Linked DNA regions of Ovis aries. The protein of the gene in region 1 interacts with the protein of each later gene in a biochemical or structural test. Links are inferred from orthologs where the notes say so. Each region holds a gene or a part of one and is shown in the gene's direction. Other genes may lie near its edges.

Region 1 (3,832 bases):
AGCCGCTGTGTATCACCACCCTGCTCCCCTTGAGATATATTGTCCGTAGACGGCTGAGCCTGCACAGAATTATTTTTAATAAAATGTATCTTTTCTTCCAGCATGCTTTCCACTTCCACTGCATCTCTCGCTGGCTCAAAACACGGCAGGTGTGTCCGTTGGACAACAGAGAGTGGGAATTCCAAAAGTAGGTGTCCCCGGCTGTTTCGACATCGTATGTAAGGTTGGGCTTTGTGGTCAGTACTGTTCTTGGACCCACGTCAAGCTGGAGGGTGCACAGTTTTAGAAGATGAAGACATAGAACATGGCTGGTTCATAAAGTAGCTTTCGGTTAGTTAGATGAGGACGCGTCTCTGTGGAAAGTGTATAAGGTGAACCAGCATTAGAAACTTGCAGCCTGGAGTTTCCCAGCCATCTAGGTAGGGTCTTTGGAAGTAGTAGTAGAAGCTTGCAAATTCTCATTTTGCAAGCTATTAAATATTTCCACAATCACATCAAGAATAAGGCTCCAGGGGCTAACTAATGTCATCTGTCTTTGCTTTGGGCTAGAATTATATCATGTTTCATTGGTTTATCTCACAGGGATTAATTCTGATACAGCATCTGTGGCTATCTCAACTAAATCATTATTGTTGCTGCTGTTAATTGTAGTAGCGTGTAAGTAATACACGGCGTGCAAATTTTCAAAACTTCAAATGATCAGTCTGTACTAGTAATTCCTAAAAGAGGAATTTCTGGTTTAAGAGTATGTATGTTTTTATTTTTGATAGTGTCAGATTTTTTTCCTTTCCCAAGAGTATGTACTAATTCACAGCCCCTACCAACAGTGAAGCAGAAGACTTCCTCCTCCATTTCTTGCCAGTGCTTTGTTATCAGACGTTTTCATCTTAGCTACTGACAGGTGAAAATTAGTTTTCAATTGTATTTTTTAAAACTTTGAGTAAAGTTGGGCTGCTTTTCATATGTTTTTATGCCTGTTGTATTTGTCTGTGAAATGCTTTTTTATCTGTTGAATTTTCAGTTAATTTATCAAATTTTTAATGGAAAGGGGGATTTTCGAAGTTCTCAAGAGACCTTTGTAATTGACTGTGCCGTGGAGCAGGCTCAGGGTGCCATCTTGGATCAAAACTGTCTCACGTAGCCCATACACGTGCCCAGGGCTGAGCCTAAGAAGTGGGGGGGTGACGAATCCTCCTGCTAGGCTTTGACACTGTCGCTTTATCCAGCTGGTGACTTTGCCTGGCTGTGGTTATGAGCGCCCTGGGAAAACAAATTCATAAGAAGCAAATTTCATTTCAGCATGCTTTAAACTGATGGATAACTTCTAGGTTATTCTCACTAACAAGCTGGAGCTCTACCCTGTGAGGACTTTTTTAGGGAATTTTTAAGCGAATTTCTTATAAGGAGTACTTAAAGAATCTAGCAGCCCTTCAGGATGATGGCAACAGTGATGCAGAATTCTGGTGCCCTGGTCTCCATCTGTGTAGCAAAGTATTTTCATTAGAGGCGAACTACCCACTAAGAACCATGGCCAAAGATTAAGATAATAATGGATTCTGTGTTCAAGAAATCTTACATGTGGAAAAAATGTCCTACCATTGGTTATAATCTTTCTGGAGCCAAGTTTTGGCCTCTGAGGAAATCAGAAAGGACCTGAGATCCATAGCTAGTTTCTCGACAGTTCTTTCGGTGGTGCTCAGCAGACTCAGGGCTGTAATTGGAACTGGTGATAGATTTTGACACTGAAGGCTGTTCGGTTACTATCCTCTGTAGGGGTCTTACCCTAAACTAGCCCAAGTATGGGAGTTGAGGGGAAGAGGCGGCCCACAGGGAAGAGGGCGGAGGATTCAAGCTGTCTTAGCTGCATACTGGCCATCAAGTGCAGCTCCCTTTCACAGCCATTAGCCGTGACTCCTCCCTGTCACTGCCCAGTATCTGCCTGGCACCAGGAAAGAGTCAGGTGGGTGCAGTTGAGTGGGGGACCATCACTATGAAGAGGGTGGTAGGGACAATGTTACAGGAGGCCGGTAGGCTGAAAGGGGCAGAGACAAGGGTTGAAACCCAATCTTCAAAGTTTTAACCAGATTGGTGGATATATTTTTAGCAGGTGTTACAGTCTCAAACAGGGAATCACGATAAGGAATGAATTAATAATTTACTTTGTCTTCCAGGTATGGGCACTAGAAAAAGAATTCTTCCATCAAGCTCAACTGTTTTTGTTATCCACTGAATGACTTGCCCTCCTGTTACTTATTATAAATTAGATAGAACTGTGTCTCTTCTGCTTTGTCTTTTCAGTTTGCTATTCTGGCAGCCATACTGTATTCTGTGTCAAATAAAATCCAGTTGGATTCTAGAACAGACGCTGTCTTTTGTGTATGTGCAAAAAGTGAACACAAGTAAAGGGCCTCCCGCCCCTTTCTAGGGTGGAAGGCTAGGTTTTGAAAGTGAGGTGTTTGTTCATCAGAGCCAAAGCAGGATCGTCCTGTGAGCACGTCGCTTGGTCTCAAGGAAGCCTGGTCCACAGCCTGGCTGCTGCTGATGATCTTGGGCGAGTGGTCTGTCTGCTCCGAGCTCTTCCTCCTCCGTGAAGTGGCTGCTAAGGACTAAACAGGATCATGTGGGCACAGAAAGAGGCCTTATAAACTGTGAGAACGCTGTACAGGTGTTAACTTTGTGTATGACATGTTGCTTTCTCATTTTAGTTTAGAAAAGTTAACTTGAAAAAAAATTAATATGTCATCTTGGCTGGCGATGGAGTAATCTGTGAACTCAAATTGGAAAACAGTGTCATTTAGAGTTAACGGGAGAATTCAGGTTTCCCTTCCTCACCACCACCCTTTGTAATTTGTTTAAGATGCCTTGGCTGTGGACAGAACTGCCAGTTCTAACACTACTTCAGTCTCTTAGTCTTTAACTGAGAGGCGGGTTAATTTACTGCAGTGATTCTCAAAGTGTGTGCTGAGGACTTGCGGGAGTAATGGAAACACTTTCAGGAGGTTCACGAAGTTCCTTTTCCGGCTGCGTGTCTGTACAAGGCCAATTTTTCTTTTTTTCCTTCAGACAAAGCAACGTATTGAATGAAAAAAGAGAGCAGCAAATCCAGCTGTCTTCTGCTAAGTCAGATATAAAAGAGATTTGCAAAAATGTAAAACAGTGCCACTCTTCTAACTTTTGTTTTGAAAACTAGTTACTTTGAATAAAAATATTTATGTTAACGTGATGGGTTTTTGTTCTTTTAAAATCTTTTAAATTTCTCAGTTTGATTTCCATTGTGGTAAATATCTGTGGATGCAACCCCCATAAAAACTCTTTGGTTTCTTCAGTGTGTAAGATCATAAGGGGATCCTGAGACTCAAAAGTTTGAGAACCTCTAGCTTAGTAATAAGAACTTTGAGGTCCAACCTGGGTGGAACCCAGCTTCCCCACTTGGCCGCCAGCAGTGCAGTCGCTCAGGGCCAGGTGGCTGCTGCCGTCGATGTTCCTTCCACCCTCGGCAGAAATCACCTCCTTTAAACCCCTTTCAGGTGGTCATTCACACTGCAGGAACACTTAAGCGATGCAGAAGAATGGTTTTCACACAGCTGGCGTCACATATTTGCAGAGTTCTGCCTGGGTGTTCATAAAGACCCTTGGTTGCAGAGCAGCCGACTCCAGCTTCTGCTTAGGTCATGGAACGTTTGTGAGGGCTAGGGGGCTGTGTCCTCTGAAAGGAGTAAGGGACACAGAAGGGGCTGGACCTAAGAATGAATGACTAGAACCAGGGCATCCCTGCTGGGATTCTGTCGCTCTTTCACAAAGACTAGCTTCTCTTTTGCTGGCTACGCTTATG
Region 2 (4,397 bases), on another chromosome or scaffold:
TGGTTCATTAATTGTAATAAATGTACTACACTAATGTGAGATGTTAATAAGGGGAAATTGGATGCCAAGTATATGGAAATTATCTGTACTATTTTCTCTGCTTTTTTTTTTTTTAAGTCTATTAAAAAATGGAGGGGGTGGTAACCAGAATATAACTATGCCTTAAAATTTTTTTAATTTTTTAAATTTTAATTTTATTTTTTTACTTTACAATACTGTATTGGTTTCGCCATACATTGACATGAATCCACCACAGGTGTACATGAGTTCCCAACCCTGAATCCCCCTCCCATTTTTTCTTAAAGTTCCTATTTATGGAGTGTTTACCATATGCTGGTCATTGTGCTAAACTCTGTACATGGATGATTTAATTTTTATAATTGTTTATATGTTAGGCATAATTAACCTCTTTTACAGAAGCTGATGAAAAGGAAGTGGTAATATAATATAAATGGTGGAGCCAGGATTGGAACCAGGGATGTTTCTGATCCCAGAATTCTAAATGTGTGGAACTCACAGTATCCTGCCTTTTCTAGAAAATGTTCAGTTTTCATAGGACAGGCCTTCCAAAGAGAAACAGGGCCTAAATTATGGGATTGTAGACAATTTCCACATCTCACTTCACTCATGATTATTTTCAAAGAACCCCAGGTCTAAGATCTGCAGGGGGTCAAAGTTCAACCAAGTACCTCATTTTACAAATGGGTAAATGGAGGATAGCCACAGCATTTGTCCCAAATCACACAGCAAGGGCCAAGAACCCAGGTTCAGTCTGTATGATTATTTCTCTTTTTATTTCCCACAGCTTCCTCTTTGTAGTTAAGGGAAGTAGAAACTGACCTATCTGCTTTCCCCATTTCTCGGATGGGAAACTGCACTTCAACCCCCTAAGTTGGCAACACGCTGCTCTCCAAAGACACAATGGCATGAGGACTGGATCCGTAGAAATGTCAGGACGCTTGTTCCCAACGACAAAACCCGCACTGTCAGCACATCCTTGTCAAGCACCTACTGAGTGCTGGGACGACAGACCGTGTGTTACGGCGGGGTGGGGAGGGGACGTTAGGCCTGTAGAGGATCAGGGCTCTTAGGAAGACAACTGCGGGAGGCCTGAGGGTACAAGTAGGGGGAGGAGGGCGATGACAGCTCTAGGACAGAGGTCCCTTCCGGGGCGCGCCTTTGGAAACGTAACGTCAAGCCGCACAACCATCATTTTGGGGACAAGGGCACCCCCAGGGGCCACCCTCAAACCCCGGCCTCACCGTCACCCCCCACTGCCGCTTGGCCCTTTAAGGGCGGGGGACGCGCGCCGGCGTCACAAAGCGCCGCCACCTGGCGGGGTGGTGGAGAGGAGGCGGGGAAGTGGGAGGAGTAGGAGGGGGAGGAGGGAGAGGAGGGCGGCAGGGGCAGAGGAGGTGGGGAGGGAGAGGAGGGAGGGAGGGGCGCGCGCACGCGCGTCGCGTCGCTCGCCGCCTAGAGCCGCTCTCGGCCAAGAGCCGCCCTCCCTCCCGACGCGCGCCCCTCCTCCCTCCCGACGCGCGCCCCTCCTCCCTCCCTTCTTCTTCTCAGCTTCGTCGCTCCCGCGGCGCGAGGCGCTCTCGCTCTTCTCCTCCTCCTCCTCCGCCGTCGCCCCTCCCCCCGCGCAGCCGCCGCCGCCGCCGCCGCCGCAGCCGCGAGACCCCCGCGTGTCGCGCTTCCCCCGCCCTTCGGCCCCTCGCGCCCTTCGGCCCCGGCGGCCCCCGAGGAGAACAAGAGAGCGAGCGAGCGCGGCGCTCCCGGGCCATCCCGGCCCGGTCTCCTCACCGTCGCCGGCCTTTCGCCGCCTTCCTCCGCTTCCACCTCTTCTCCCCCCCCCACCGCCAACCAAGTTGAGGCCCCCTCCGGGGGGGGGAGGCCCGAGACCCGGAGCGAATTTCAACTCTCTCCACCCCTCCCCCCACCCCGGCCCGAGTGTGAGGAGAAGGGCCCGGCCCGGCCCGCGTCGTGTGTGAGGAGGAACCGGGCCGGCCCACGGGCCGTGTGGGGCCTGGTCCGGGCCGCCGGGTGTGTGAAGACAGGGGCCCGGAGCGGCCCGGCAGAGGGAGAGCGGAGGGGAGGGGCCTGGTCCGGCCCGGCTGGTGCGTGAGGACTGGGGCCCCGGCCCGGCGCCGCCGCCGCCGCGATGGCCCAGCAGCAGATGACCAGTTCGCAGAAGGCCCTGATGCTCGAGCTGAAATCCCTGCAGGAGGAACCGGTGGAGGGCTTCCGGATCACCCTGGTGGATGAATCCGACCTCTACAACTGGGAGGTTGCCATCTTCGGACCCCCTAACACGCTCTACGAAGGCGGCTACTTCAAGGTACCCGCAACCCCGCTCAGGCTTCCCCGGGCGGAGGCCGCAGTTTTCGGCTGTTTTCCCGGCCGAGAGTGGGAGCGCGGGGGAGCGGAGGGGGCTCCTCACCTCTGCAGCCCCCTCCCCCCATCCGTGGAGGCAGGAAGGCCTCGCTTGCTCACCCGGTGCCTTTTCTTTGTCATGGGGGCGGGGGCGGGAGGCCAGCCTGCACCGGGAAATAGGAAAGCCTCTGTGGCTAGGGTAGTGGCTACCGGAGGAGGAGGGGGGAGGTCTTTGTTTTGTTTCCCCCGCCGAGGGTGTACGGAAAGAAAGGGATCCCCCACGGCCTCCCATCAGAACCATCTCTGCGCCGGCTGGAACTACCCCAGAGGGCAGAGTGACCTGCACTTACGGGATTGGACCTTTTTTTGGGGGTGGGGGGGTGGGGTAGGAGGGTGGGGGAGGGGTATCGGCCTGTCATTCCAGAGGCTGCCTACTGACCTGACATTTTGGGGATTTGAGGGCTTCTTGCATATAGTGGTGGTTCCAACTTCGCATTCCAGTGGGTGGTAATGGAGAATAGGACCCTAGGGGTGGTAAACAAGGGCGCCTGCGTTTTCTTGCCATCAGCCACTTGAGGGAACTCGAATTTAGCCCTCTTTCTGTCCTCATTTTCTATTTACTTCAATGCTGTTTCAAAATGCCCTTTGTCCTCACCCTGCCACCAACTTTACTGCACTCACCCCCGCCTTCCCCGGCCTCCCGTGTAGAAATATCCACTGAGGGCGGAACATGTTGTATAGGGAGATTGATGATTTCCCACTTCAGGGAGACAAAATTGAAACCTTTTGCTTAGATGGCTAACTCTAGCAAACGGGGAGAGGGGGGTGGTCTCACAGGTGAAGAGTGACATCTGCGGTGGGATGGTTTCACAAAGTAGGACCGATCCTTAGCGACCGTAGTTATACTTTCTATTGTTTTCCAAGATGTTAGAACAGTGGTTTTTATCATTCCTGAATCCAGTAGTTTTTTCAGTTTCCAAATAGATAGTTGGAAATATTGAGGGTCTTTTGTTTTTGTTTTTATTTAACCATTTTTTAAGGGGAAAATCACAGATTGAAGGTCGAAGTTTTAAATGATGGGGGACAGAGAGGAAATGAGTACTTAAGAATTCTTTTAAGTTAATTTTTTTTATTTCCAAAATTAAGTAAAATAGGTCTGTGAGTCAGTCTTAGTTTGTTTTGAAGGGAGGGGCTATCTTGGCATAAGTTTTAAATGAGTATCTTAGTCATGTAGTTACGTGTGTTTTTAAGGACTGCCCAGTTAGTTTAGTTTCTACTCTTCTAAAGGTAGAAGCCTCAGTTTCAGGCTTGAGATTGGGTCTGTTTTGTATAAATGTGAAGAATTGATTGTGGAATGTTTACTATTCATGTCTGTGATAGTCACTTAATAGCTGATTAGAAGCATGCGTTTAGTATTTAGAATATTGTATATACCAACCATACACTGTACTCTTCAGAGGAAAATACTTGCAAAATCTACTGGCTAATTTTAGTGAAATGAAGTTTAATTTCTAAAAAGTATCATTATTTGGGACAATCACTTGTCAGGATAAATGGTTACTAGTTAGAATTATCTTACTCCTAGGCAATGCATTAAAAACAAACAACAACAAACAAAGGAAATAATGGGTTTAAAATGGTAATAGTTTTGCTTAGGTAATTGAGAATGGAGTGTGGTGAACCCTCTCAGTTTGGCATAGGTAATATGGAAGGAGGATTCCTTGAAGCATGCACTGATTTAAATTAACTGCTTTTTAAATTCAATCTTATTTAAAAAGAATCTCGTTTTGTTGTATGTTTAGATGTATATTTTTTTACTTTTGTGACATGTAAAAAATGTATGAAAATTCTTAAACAGATTTGGTGTTTTAGTGGTATGTGAGAATTTTGTTCAATTTTGTTCTCGTCTTCCTTTTTTTTTTCTTTTTTAAATGGCTTTTTATTCCAAAGTCTTTCATTGGAAAAGGCAAATTTATGGTCATGAGCAGTTAACACTGGTGACAGGTTTAAAACCATTGTTTTTT

The links. The genes of interacting proteins can lie anywhere in the genome.
Region 2: the proteins of RBX1 (region 1) and UBE2R2 form a complex in vitro, tested with the Homo sapiens proteins (10 studies listed by BioGRID). The link is inferred for Ovis aries from reciprocal best matches to the Homo sapiens genes RBX1 and UBE2R2.

Annotation. Positions count from the first base shown.
Region 1 is NC_056056.1:217,993,042-217,996,873, forward strand, and holds the end of RBX1 (E3 ubiquitin-protein ligase RBX1), read left to right. Parts: intron 1-101; coding exon 102-187; intron 188-827; coding exon 828-891; 3' UTR 892-901; intron 902-2,171; coding exon of another isoform or gene 2,172-2,234; 3' UTR 2,235-3,223; downstream 3,224-3,832. UniProt on the Homo sapiens protein: E3 ubiquitin ligase component of multiple cullin-RING-based E3 ubiquitin-protein ligase (CRLs) complexes which mediate the ubiquitination and subsequent proteasomal degradation of target proteins, including proteins involved in cell cycle progression, signal transduction, transcription and transcription-coupled nucleotide excision repair.
Region 2 is NC_056055.1:37,686,243-37,690,639, reverse strand, and holds the start of UBE2R2 (ubiquitin-conjugating enzyme E2 R2), read left to right. Parts: upstream 1-1,567; 5' UTR 1,568-2,161; coding exon 2,162-2,338; intron 2,339-4,397. UniProt on the Homo sapiens protein: E2 ubiquitin-conjugating enzyme that accepts ubiquitin from an E1 ubiquitin-activating protein, and catalyzes its covalent attachment to other proteins by an E3 ubiquitin-protein ligase complex.